3 linked regions of the Drosophila melanogaster genome follow. The protein of the gene in region 3 interacts with the protein of the main gene of each other region in a pairwise test. Each region holds a gene or a part of one and is shown on either strand. Other genes may lie near its edges.

Evidence for each region.
Region 1: the proteins of Cipc (region 3) and Mabi interact in a two-hybrid assay, tested with the Drosophila melanogaster proteins (one large-scale study listed by BioGRID).
Region 2: the proteins of Cipc (region 3) and CG4960 interact in a two-hybrid assay, tested with the Drosophila melanogaster proteins (one large-scale study listed by BioGRID).

What each region holds. Positions count from the first base shown.
Region 1 is NT_033779.5:13,233,178-13,236,558, forward strand, and holds Mabi (mabiki), read right to left. Parts: upstream 1,484-3,381; 5' UTR 1,419-1,483; coding exon 798-1,418; 3' UTR 621-797; downstream 1-620. UniProt on the Drosophila melanogaster protein: Plays a role in inducing apoptosis and is involved in the repair of head patterning defects in the embryo caused by extra maternal copies of the homeotic gene bicoid.
Region 2 is NT_033777.3:25,785,741-25,789,285, forward strand, and holds CG4960 (uncharacterized protein), read right to left. Parts: upstream 1,559-3,545; 5' UTR 1,483-1,558; coding exon 958-1,482; 3' UTR 589-957; downstream 1-588. Other genes in the region: CG31380 (uncharacterized protein), read right to left, coding at 2,371-2,582, 2,707-3,545.
Region 3 is NT_033777.3:26,104,943-26,110,014, reverse strand, and holds the start of Cipc (clock interacting protein circadian), read right to left. Parts: upstream 3,148-5,072; 5' UTR 2,673-3,147; intron 2,431-2,672; 5' UTR 1,138-2,430; intron 1-1,137.

The sequences.
Region 1 (3,381 bases), on a different chromosome or scaffold from region 3:
AATCGGATTAAAATAATGGAAACACTATAGCACTTGCCATTCCTATTAATACGTTGAAATTTTCCACAGGGATTAGGGGTTATGCAAATGAAAGCCTTTAGCGTGACCAATTCGATTACAATGTATTTGAAAATATCGTAGCTACTAATAGCTAAAGTGTTTAGTTTAACTTTAAGTGCGACAATGACAGCTGAGCGATGGACGGGAATAGGAGTAGTTATTATTTAAGCCCACATTCCCGTAGCTGCGGTTTCAATCGGTTTACGGCTCTATTGCCAGTGGTTTGACCAGGGTGCAGGGTTAATACCCAGTGAACTTTATCCGACTGGCTTGATATTCTCCATGGGGGGAGGCAATAGTCGATGGGGTCACCAATAACGATTTGCTCCAGGGGCTGATGATTGCCTGTGACACCACGCGAACTACCCCTGGGGATTAATTGGGATTTATTTCGATGGCTCCACGCTTTATTATATTTTATTAAATTTATTTATATATATTTTTAATATATTCATTGCTTCATTAGCGCTTGATTACTTTTTCTGCCAATGTCATAAATTAATATTTATACCATTTTTAGAAGGAAGATTAAAAGTCAAGCACACGATAAAAAATCAATTAGCCGTAAAAATTAAATCCTCATATTTTATTTATTAAGAAGTTCCTGCTTAACCTTTTAAGGCATTTATACTAAATATATACTAAATTTCTTAGCACTAAAAGTTCTTGAAGAAACTTAACAACTTAGCATTAATATAATAACTATATAATACAATCCTAAAAGGAGATGGACGTATCTAAGCATGCTCCTGTTTAATACCACCTATCAGGTAGTCGATGCTAAAGTTACTCTTGGTATTCTCCTCCGGAACTCTCCTTGAGGATACTAGCGGGTGGTCTTCCTGCTTGACCAGCTGCTTCAGATGATTCAAATAGACCCTGGCACGCAGACTCTGTTCGGCGATCTTGAGGTGCTCATCGGAGCACTCCTTGTACTGCTGTTCGATCTGCAGGTCATCGAACTTCTTCTTCCGTCGACTCATCCTGCAGGCAATTGTGTTCTTGTTGCGGCGCTCCTGATCCTTCGGTGAACGCTCCTTCTTCGGGAATTTTCGCACCATATTGACGTGGTACTTGAAGATGTCTTGGATGGCCTCGGTTATGATGGGGCTGGCGGATTGGTAGGAAACGCTTGAGGATGAGGATCCCAAACGACGACGCTTTGGCAGTGGAGGAAAGTCAGCATCCTGATCACTGAAACCCAAGCTGACGGACTGATTTGCCGCATCGAAAGGACTCCGACTGGTGCAGGGTGTGCCGCTCCGGGAGATTAGCTCTTCCTTCAGCTGCAAATCGCATTTCTCAATCTTTCGACCCATGTCGAACTTTTTGTGGCGATAGATCTGATGGTGCTCCATTGTATGGTATGATATGCTATGGTTATGCTATGTGTGTTCTACTCGAAGACTCTCGATTGAATGCTGTCCTGTGGATTGGTACACTAGCTTATATGGCGAAAGCCTTATCTGCCGCTCTTCGTAATCCCCCCACAACTTTTATAACTTTGTTTACACAAATCGACGACGAATTTTCTTTTTGCAAAACGAAAACAAGATCATAAACCCGCTCGATTTGCCTGCGCACGCGTACATGCCACCCAATCCCATACCCAAACCCAAACCCAAAACCCAACCCATCCCACTTACCTACTTGTAAGCCCACCCGTTGGGCATCCCTATCTACTGGTCATGTTTATTCTTGCGTGCGTTCAGCTGGGATCTTTTGAATTTCAGATACAATACAATCCGAGTTTTTCCGGATCAGTAGGTGGCGAAATGCGCGCCCATCGATTGTCTGGGTTCATTCAATTCGTGTTTGTTCCTCTTTCAAATCTATTATCTGCTGTGTTTTTCAATGTCGCCGCCTTTTGTAAAAGTCATATATATATATACATATATGGATTTTGGGCTACTCTTGTTCAATTGGCCTCTATTCGAAAAGTGTTTTGCGGCCTCATTTGTCCAACTCCCTTTGTATCCTGCTGTTGATAAGGTGTGTGTGGCACTGATCTTTTGTTTTCCGTTTGTTTCCCTTTTTTTAGATATCACTTCTTGGAACTCGGAGTGCCATTTCTGGGTTTGCAGTTTAATGCCGAAGATGACGATAAGATGACGTCTATTTGGGGTTGCAAAAGGGCACATTCCTGTAGACAGTCTGCGTCTGCTGATAACGTGCGTTTATCTCTTTTGTGCCAGGTCACTTGATAAATCGTTGTAAACTCAGCGCATCTTAAAACGATCCTAAAAAAAAAAGTATTCGAAAATTGGCCTGCGTAAAATAACCTACTTATTTGTTTGTTAAGAACTGAGGTTTTCCGAATTAGTATAAAGATTTGTTGTACGCGTATGACTCATTTCCAACCTTTTAAGCTTTGACAAAATCGACGTACGTTGCCTACTAGACACACGTGACTAAATAATCACTAATCAAGCACTTTAAAAATTGCCGTAAGGTGCAAAAAGCAGAATTAGCATTAGAGCTGTTAGCACGGCCACGCTTGACACCAATTGTTTGATTTATACTTTCATTACTACTTACTAGTAGAAACAGAAATAGGCAGTAAAAGGTTCTGCCTTTTCATTTTGAGGGTATACACAGATGTATATTTTACTAGGCCACAAAATTGCAGTAAGTTAAATAAAGCCTCAGTTAAATGCATTAGCATTAGCATGGAAGTACAGGAAGAATAGTTTCAAGCTCTAAAAATTGAAACAGTGATCTTAAGCCCAAGTCCCCGAGACATTTAATAAGGTGGTACGTTTTAATTAGCCGCCTGGGACCAAGATCTCCAGCACCATCTCCATCACCAAGTCGAGGAAGCATCCAAAGCGAGTCGGATCACTTGGGACAGCTGCCGGTAGTTGGTAGGCGGTTATGTGATGAGTATGTCGGGTCGCACTGGGGTCGCGATAAGTCAAATCGGATGGCTGGGTGGCTTCCACTTCACGACTTTACGGGGGAATTTAATAATGTCGTTTGTATTTCGCTACTGTCTACTGTCTACTGTCTATTGACTTTTGCATTTGCTTTGTTTTCTACAGCTGCGACGGCGATTAGTTTCAAGCTATTTTTGTTATCCACCCACCACCCACCGCCCACCGCTCCGCCCACAAATCCCTATTATTTGCTAATGCCGAGCATCTGTGTTTGTGCCTTTTTTTATTTTTTTTATTTTACGTTTGTCTTTGCAATTTCGATTTGATTGGATTTGTTTTGTTTTCTTCCCATAAATAAGAGCCCGCCACCCATCGCAGCTCTCAGACGTTGATTCGCATTTGCATCGGTCAGGTTGGGCTATCCAACGGATGTGGAATAACTTCA
Region 2 (3,545 bases), 320 kb from region 3:
TATAAAAAATTCAGCATGTTTACATGCTGGCATTTTAAAGTGAGGAAAATGCAACAAGCTCGTATTTTCATTTAAAAAAAACATTACACATTGCAAAATTTAACTAAAGGCAATAGTGAAAAAACTATGCTATCCAGTTAGTACTCACGGTTCCATTAAATATAAACCATATTTGCACCTTTTTCAAGTGAGTATTCATGTAAGCGAATAAAATATTGAAAGCAATTTAAGTGATAAGTTCAAAATATGCAAAACAATATTTATTAAAAATTATTATAACGCAATGTAAAATATTTCAAATGTTATTGATGCATTCTTTCGAGTTGCATAACTTGCCATTTTTCCAGCATGTTTATTATTCTGTAAATATATTTGACAAACATGCACTGGCACATAAAAAAAAGCTGAAATTGACTCGAGTAAGAACCGGAAAAAGAACAATGAGCAGCGACAAAATATGTGTGGCATCGGGATGCTTTTTACGCGCAACATTTATTTCGCATTCGAGGACGTCTCTCAGTGAGATATCAAACTCATACACACAAGGAGGTACACACACACAAGCACACCTACAAAATGGCACACAATCGGTAAATGGCTTGCATTAGGCATAGACTTTCTAGACTTTTATTCAGATTTTCCCCATACATTATCACTGTGAAACTTCCAAAATATATAATTTCTTTTCGAATGTCACTTAAAGGATGGAAGTGCCGTTCTGAGCCGGAATACCTCTTCGAGTTTAAATTCGAGTCCACAAAAGCAGCCGCGCAAGTGGTGAGATTTCATTTTTACCTTTAACCAGGATAGATTTTTTAGGATTCAGCGACCACTGGTGCTCCTTCCAACAACAAAATGAATACATCATTAAAATTTATTGCGAAATGTATCCGATACGAGGTGAGGTTGTTTTGCAGACCGTAAACCAAATGCATGGAGTTAACGCAAATGTTTGTCCTAGTCGTCCTTTGGCACTCCAGCGGACATCATGTCGACGGGATCGTGAAGCTTCAGGAAGTATGGTCGGACCAGCTTGTGGTAGATAAGGGTAGAACCATTCCGTTCGGTGGGCAGCATGCACCAGATGAGGAAAGTACACTTCAACAGCCAGTAGAAGGGAATCATCGAAGTTAGCAGACTTGGATAGAATTCAATCACAGTGAAGATGCCAAAAGTGACCCAGTAGATCAGCCACCTGATGTCGTCCTGCTTCGTACTGGACTCGATGCCATGGATGGAAATGTAAGCAGGGTAAAGAACCCCAATGATGTTGCACAATAGCTGAGCGCACCAGCCAAAGACCAGGTAGAAAGCGCAAAACAAAATACTACCCACGAAAATATTCACCCTCTCCACACCGGTCTTCTCTTCCAGGCTATCAAAGGCTTTGGTCCACGGCTTGGACGCATCGCGCAGTGATCGGTTAATGTCCTGCTTGTAGCCGTTGAAGAACCGCTGCACCTGACTTACCTGGGCGGCCATTTTGCACAAATGAGAATTTAATGTATGTATCTAATTGTCAATCAAAATTGTGTAACGCCGCCGGCTTTCTAAATGCCAGTCGATTTTTTTTTTGTTTGCATTACAAAAACGACCTTAAATTAAGGTAAAAGCCGCAAAATGGTATCTTGTATAGAAAATTTAAAAATTTATATTTTTGAATCAGCTCCGTTCTTTTTTTTCTTATAGAAATTACCTCTGTTTTTCCTCTTCCTCCATTAAGTATAATAAACGGTTGCCTAGTTTTTGGCGCAGGCCGGGCTAAATGGCATAGCTTAGCCTAATTGCACTCAGCTTTAATGCAGTTGTGAATAAAGCAACGCCAGCGGCAGACACGTCATAATTTGGTGATTTTCCAACAGCTTGGCCCACCATTTCGCGCCAAAGTTTTAATTAAGCAAAGGCCAGGAGCACGCGCAGAATACCCCATTTAGTCCGACTTTTCGTTTATCCACATCAAAATTCACATTTTCCATTTCTTTTCAGACTCATTTTCTGCGGCAGACACGCACTCACAGCTTTGCATGGCTTCCATTCATTCACTCATTCAAAATGCTAAACAATTCAAAAAAATGTGTGTAACTATCCTCGCCCTTCCATTCGTCGCCTCCGACCTTCCATTTTTCCATTTCGCAGCAGCTAAATGTGTTGCGCTTTTGTCTAGGCCAACTGAATGTATTTTCGTTTCGGCCTTTTTCTCCTTATATTTTTCCACGAGTACCAACTCGGTTCATAATTCAAAAGCCTCTGACGGCTGGCTTTAAAATGCCTGCGGCTGTGGCTGCCATGTTTTATGTTTATTAGCTCGTCTAATTGAAATGTCTAATGGGGGAGTTTATGAAAAAAGCGGAAAATCCGCTTCCACCAGCTTCAGAGGCCTTCGTATTGCCACGGATCCAGGAGCCCTTCCAGCTCGAAATGCTTCACCATTTGCTTAATAGAGTCCTGGATGCCAGGGTTGAGATACAGCCGCCTTTTCATATCCATTCCACGCGGCTGATCCGAAAGTAGGGCGGCGAAATCCGCATCAGTTTCATCGGTGTTTAGCAGCACAGGTAGCAGCAGCAGGCCACAATGAACGGCTTAAGGAATATAGATTATCACTTTATTTATTTCAAAAAAAAAAAAAAGTACGAAAGACTTGGAAGTATATATATTTTGTTTGCATATTCATTTGCTAATCTCTTAGAAATTAAGTTTACCCACCGTAAAATCGTTTTTGCTCTGACTCCAGGTGAAACTGCTTTCGACTGGGCAACCTTTGACCTTTGAAGCCAAGTCTCTGCAGCTCCCCCACGAAGACATCGTGATAGACACCTCTCATCTTCATTTGCAGCTCACTCCGCACTTGCTCCACAGCCGACGTGTTGAGCAGATGATGGATGTCCAGGGTGGGCGAACCCCAGAAGGCGTACTGAAAGTCAATCAGAAGGACATCGCTCGGCACGCCCGCCTCGTATTTGAACATCATGTTGTTTGTCCACAAGTCGCCGTGGGTAAGGACATTAATGTGCGTTTGCTCTTGCTTAAAACAGCGGAGTCCTAGTCCCATATAATAGGGAGCCAGTTCGTCTAATAGTTTTGCGTGGTGTTCATAACCCGCCTGAGTTTTAAGGTAATTGGCACAGGACTTGAGGCAGCCCAGAAAGTAGGCACTAAAGCTTTCTGTATACCTATTGAAGAAGCCTTTATCGTATTCAGTGAGAGAGAAGTTATTTTCCAAAAGATTGTTCTCCAAAACCGCTGATGCTGCCTGCATTTTGGCCAACTTCCTAAGAACCAAACTCACATGCTGCTCATCCAATCTCTGAAGTCTCGGGGCCATCACAAATCCCTTGTAGCTCAGATCTTCCATTATGAGTGCTCCTCTTTGACGATCGATGTGTAGTATTTTAGGACATAGTTGCTCGCCGGCTAGTTCCTGCAATTTTGGTAACACTTGCTCGTAAATCTCCAGTTCCCGATTGTAAATATCATATGGGGCTTTCTTCATTTTCGTCTCCGCGTCTTCATACTCTAGAACAGTCTTGGCAATCAGATGTTCC
Region 3 (5,072 bases):
TGGCAGAGTATGGACATACCGATGGCGTGGTGATCAGCGATAGATTCCACGTCAGCGCAGCAGTACGGTACACTTGCACTTTTTTTATAAAAATTATGACGTTTGGCAGAGTATGGACATACCGATGGCGTGATGATCAGCGATAGATTCCACGTCAGCGCGGCAGTACGGTACACTTGCACTTTTTTATAAAAATTATGACGTTTGGCAGAGTATGGACATACCGATGGCGTGATGATCAGCGATAGATTCCACGTCAGCGCGGCAGTACGGTACACTTGCACTTTTTTATAAAAATTATGACGTTCGGCAGAGTATGGACATACCGATGGCGTGATGATCAGCGATAGATTCCACGTCAGTGCGGCAGTACGGTACACTTGCACTTTTTTAAAAAAATTATGACGTTCGGCAGAGTATGGACATACCGATGGCGTGATGATCAGCGATAGATTCCACGTCAGCGCGGCAGTACGGTACACTTGCACTTTTTTTTTGTATATTTATTTATTTTACATTTTTCCTCTCTCTTTTTTTTTCCTGTGTTTGAATATATGTTTGAGTTTCATTTGGTACTTCACAACTTCAATTTTGTTTTATAAAAATTTGTTCCTAGTCACTTTCAGTCGACATCTTGCATATAGTTTGTTTCGTTTCTTACATGTTTACTTACAGGTAGGTAATTATTAATAGGTAGGACATCCTACCGGCTGCGCCAGTTAAGTCCGTGATCGAGGGTGGAGCCTTTTGTGAAGATATGATGTGTAAATGTATGAAGGTTTTTAAGTTTCAGCAGATAGTTGTAGTGTGAAGATTTCCAATAAAGAATACGACTGACTTTCTTGAAGTTCAAAATCAGTATGAAGTTTATTGTCAGAGAGTGGCTACTCGAGTCCTCCGTTTTCGTCTTATACATAAGTACATAGGTTCTTAATTGTAAGCATAATGAACATGCCGACTCGGCATGTGGCTGGCTAGCTGGGGACAATGTTGCAGTGCGACTTTTGTGTAATGTCAGCATTCGGCCGGAATGTCAGCATTCGGCCGGATGCGGTGTTCCAGTTGCCGTCTTCCCGGTTGAGTGTCCGATGATTTGTTTAGAGGCGTGGGGGTTTAGGGGGTGGGGTGGTAACTCGCGCTCTCTTTTCTCCACATTTGGGGCCAAAGCTGACGATCCGCATATCAGCTCTACATATATATTTTGTTGTCTTTTATTTATTTTTTCTTTTTGCCTTCGCCCGTGTTGTTGCTTGTTTATATTTATATATCGGATGGGGCTAATATTTTTTCCAATTTTTTACTGCTTTGTTTGTTGCTGTAATGCGGAACGCGCGCGCTCGAGCAAAAATGATAAATCTACGATTATGGGCGTCATGGGGTGTCATGAATGGAGCGGCCCCCCCGAAACACGCGCAAGAGTTACCTATCAGAGATATAGATATGCTCGGTACCTGTTTAATGTCCACGACTGCCTAAAGCAATTTCCGGTTGGAAATACGCCCAGAATAAATGGGTTCAATAGTGCCAATGAACCGAAGATAATAATAATACCCAGAACTTAAGCTCATTTCGTTGCACTGTTTCTCACTGACTTGAAGTAATCGTAGTTAGGCAAATACAAAGTCTTCAGAGTGAGTAAAAAAAATAAATAAACAAACAGCTGTCGATTGTGGATCACAGCTTGAGCTTGATTCACTTTAGCTGAGCCATCGCTTCTTTTAGTACGCCGTAAAAACCAGCTGCAAAAGTGGCCCAGAAAAATCTCCCTACTTTTCTCTTCTTTCAAATCGCAGACAAAGCTCTATGATTACTTTGTGCTTATTTCAAGAATATTTCACACGATTTGACCGAACTCTTAATGGCTGATGTAAAACCAAAACATATTTACGTAAAGGAAGGAAGTACTTTTTTATCTTAGTTCTTGGAATTCGACAGCACAGAAACAAATAAAGGGCTAACACATCAACATGTTAAAGTTTTGTTTTCTTTAAGTTACACTTTGTTTCCCTTGCGAAAATTGAGTGCGTCTGGCAATATATGTAAACATTGAAAGTCCCTGAAGCCCAAAACATTATTCGAACTTTATGCTTTATATTTCCCGCGAGTATTTGAGGTATATAATAAAACAGTCGCAGAGAGCATTTATTTTTTTTTTAATTTTAATAGTAAGCCGTATTTAAATCTGGTTAACATAAGTTTGTTTCGTAATTTGTAAATTACTTTAAGTACGAGCTTTAAAGGTCACAGTTAGTGAGCTTAAGAAATCAATATTGCGCATACGCCATGTGGCCCGCCGAAATGCAGATGCAAGCGCAGCACAAGGAAGCCCAAATGCCAAAGGACACGCCATGAGTCATGTGATAAGGCCCACGGATCCTGACCTAAATTCGTCCTTCAGAAGGTGAGGCACGAAGCTTGAAAAAATCTCGCCTATACGGGGAAAGGAAATTCAGGGGGGATGCAAAAAAAAAAATACAGAGAACAGGAGGACAACCTCTCTAGTTGGCAGGAGAGCTTTCAGCATCGGAAGTCGGCTGTCAAGTGCAATTTTGTGTTTTTTTTTTTTTTTTTGGCTTTGTATTATTATTTAGCACCGCACGTGTGGCACACAAATGCTGATGCTAATGCCGGGAGATTTATGGCAAACCTTTTCGCGAGACCTGCCGACTTACCCAGACGCTGCGGGAATGATGTTGATGTCGTGTTTCTTCCGCTCTAGATACCCTTAATTTAATGCACCCTCATTGGGAATAATGAACATTATCTTTTCTTCTTATTTTCTGTATTTTTTCGTATTTGTTTTCACACGCTTTTAATCTATTCTAGGTAAGGGAACGTGTGTGTGCAAATTCGCAGACGCCAATGGCAACACGCGCGCCAAACAAAACTTTCGCTTTCGTTGCGCGTGTGGCCGTCACACCACTACACACAGCTACACTCACTCACACGCACACACACACACACACACACAGTGGCACACACGCGCGCTGGCAAACAACAAACACGGATATGCGAATACTCGAGTGCGACTGCAAAATACGTAAACGCTCGTGTTCAGCGCGAAATACAAAGCTCTCGTAGCTTTTCCAGTTTTTTGACCAAACTGCGAGACGAACACCTCGACCGCCCAAAGCAGAATGAACGCGGTCCGACGAACGAGCGTCGTTTTAATAGTAGCTCAGCGGGCACTCACTGCGCACCCCACAAAAGTGGCCAAATGTGTTAGGAAATTATTAAAAAAAAAAAAAAAGAAAAATAAATTTATTTTTGGTTAGATCATATTTTTAATCAAACATATTAAATTCTTAAAACCATATTTAACATTAAATTAGTTCTAAGTTCTAAATTTAGCAAATTTAGCCGATAAGCAACGAAATAATAAGTTGACTTTACTCGCAGAGTAATCAACAAATTACTATAGCTGGCCTTATCTACAGAAAACGGTTCAAATCATTTATTTGCACACACTCATGCTCGAGCATCCACCAAAATAAAATTATTTATAGCATCAGTGAAAAACTGTTGACACACATTCGCATTCAAAAGTCGCCAACGCATCTCAATCAATCGAAAAATGTTGCCGCAACATTGTTGCCAGCAACACGCCCCGAAAATGGGGAATCCCAGGGGAGAGCTGCTTTGCGTTTGGTTCGGGTTTGTTTTGGTCGTGCCTTTCTGGTTGCCTAAATCCGGACCCTCGGGCCAGGCCATCACCTCCCACTTCCACCCCCCTCCCCGTCGCAATAGAAGGCAATTTTGTCGCACGTGTCGGAAATTTTGTTACGGCCGATTGCTTTTGCTTCCTCTCCCTCTGCGCGATGGCTGTGAGTTTCAATGAGTTGTGTTTGCGCTGACGGGTTGCTATATATATATACACAGAGTACGGGGGAGATTCTTAAACCATAAAAAATAGATATAAATAATATAAGAAGTGTTGTTTAAAATAATAAAAGATTCATTTATTTTTGTACAATTTTAAAACCCTAAATGAAAGCTCTGTACTAACGTTCGACATTGCGAGGTCTTGCTGTACAATATGCATATATTTTTTCTGCTCGAAGACCCACTGTCTTGACAGATACATTTTCCGAGCGACCTTTCGCGCTGTTTTCGTAATGAAAAGGCAATTCAATGGCCTTTGGCTGTTGCCGGCGCAGCCGCCTGCGACACTAACGGTAAACGGGGAACGATGGCTGACTTCCGGTTTGGCTTTAATCGTCTGCTGCTGTCGTAAATGGCAGCAAAATCCGAGCAGCGAACAATAAAAGAGAAATTAGCATAACACATGAGACAACGACAACGACGCTCGTTGGAGGCCCCCTTGCGGAACCGCTTCCCCCCGATTTTGCCATGTTCTTTATGTGTGATTTTAATGGGCTCGTGGGTGTCTGGGCCATGGTCGCTTTTCTATTTCAATTGCCGACACGTGTACGCCGCGTAAAACAAAAGGAACACGACCATAAAAGCATCACGCACATGTCTGGCCATTTGCATTTTTTCCGCCCTTAAATTTCTGCACCCAAAGTGCCATTTAATTGCCATGAAGTGTAGGGGCGTGGCCACTCTTTTGCGTCAATGCAAAAGTTCCATAAACGTGGTCGTTATTATGTGGGCTGTCCATCCTATCAAGACGCCCGTTAAATAAAAGTGCGTAATCAAATCTAACGAGTATAGCCCGAACAACACGAATAATTCAACTGATTAGAAATAGACGAAAATAAACTGTACCGAAATAGCCTAAACACAACCATCTTGCCGTTGACATATTTATTGTTTTATTTTTAATTGATAATGGCATTTTAAGTGACAAATTTTATTATCTGTCCTTTAGTATTAAAATAATTGTGCCTAATTACTCCAAAAATAGCTATGTCGTGATAAAAATAAACCACAATATTGCTGGCTAAACACTTCAAAAACCGCAGATTGTATTTCAATTCTGCGGTTAATGATCGTGCGGCGAACACATTTGTTTGTCAACACTTTTACGTTCAGTGTATGCTATTGGATTGCCAAAAATAAAACATATTTGATTTGTTTTTGTCTGGGAATTTCTAGGGAACACAATTACT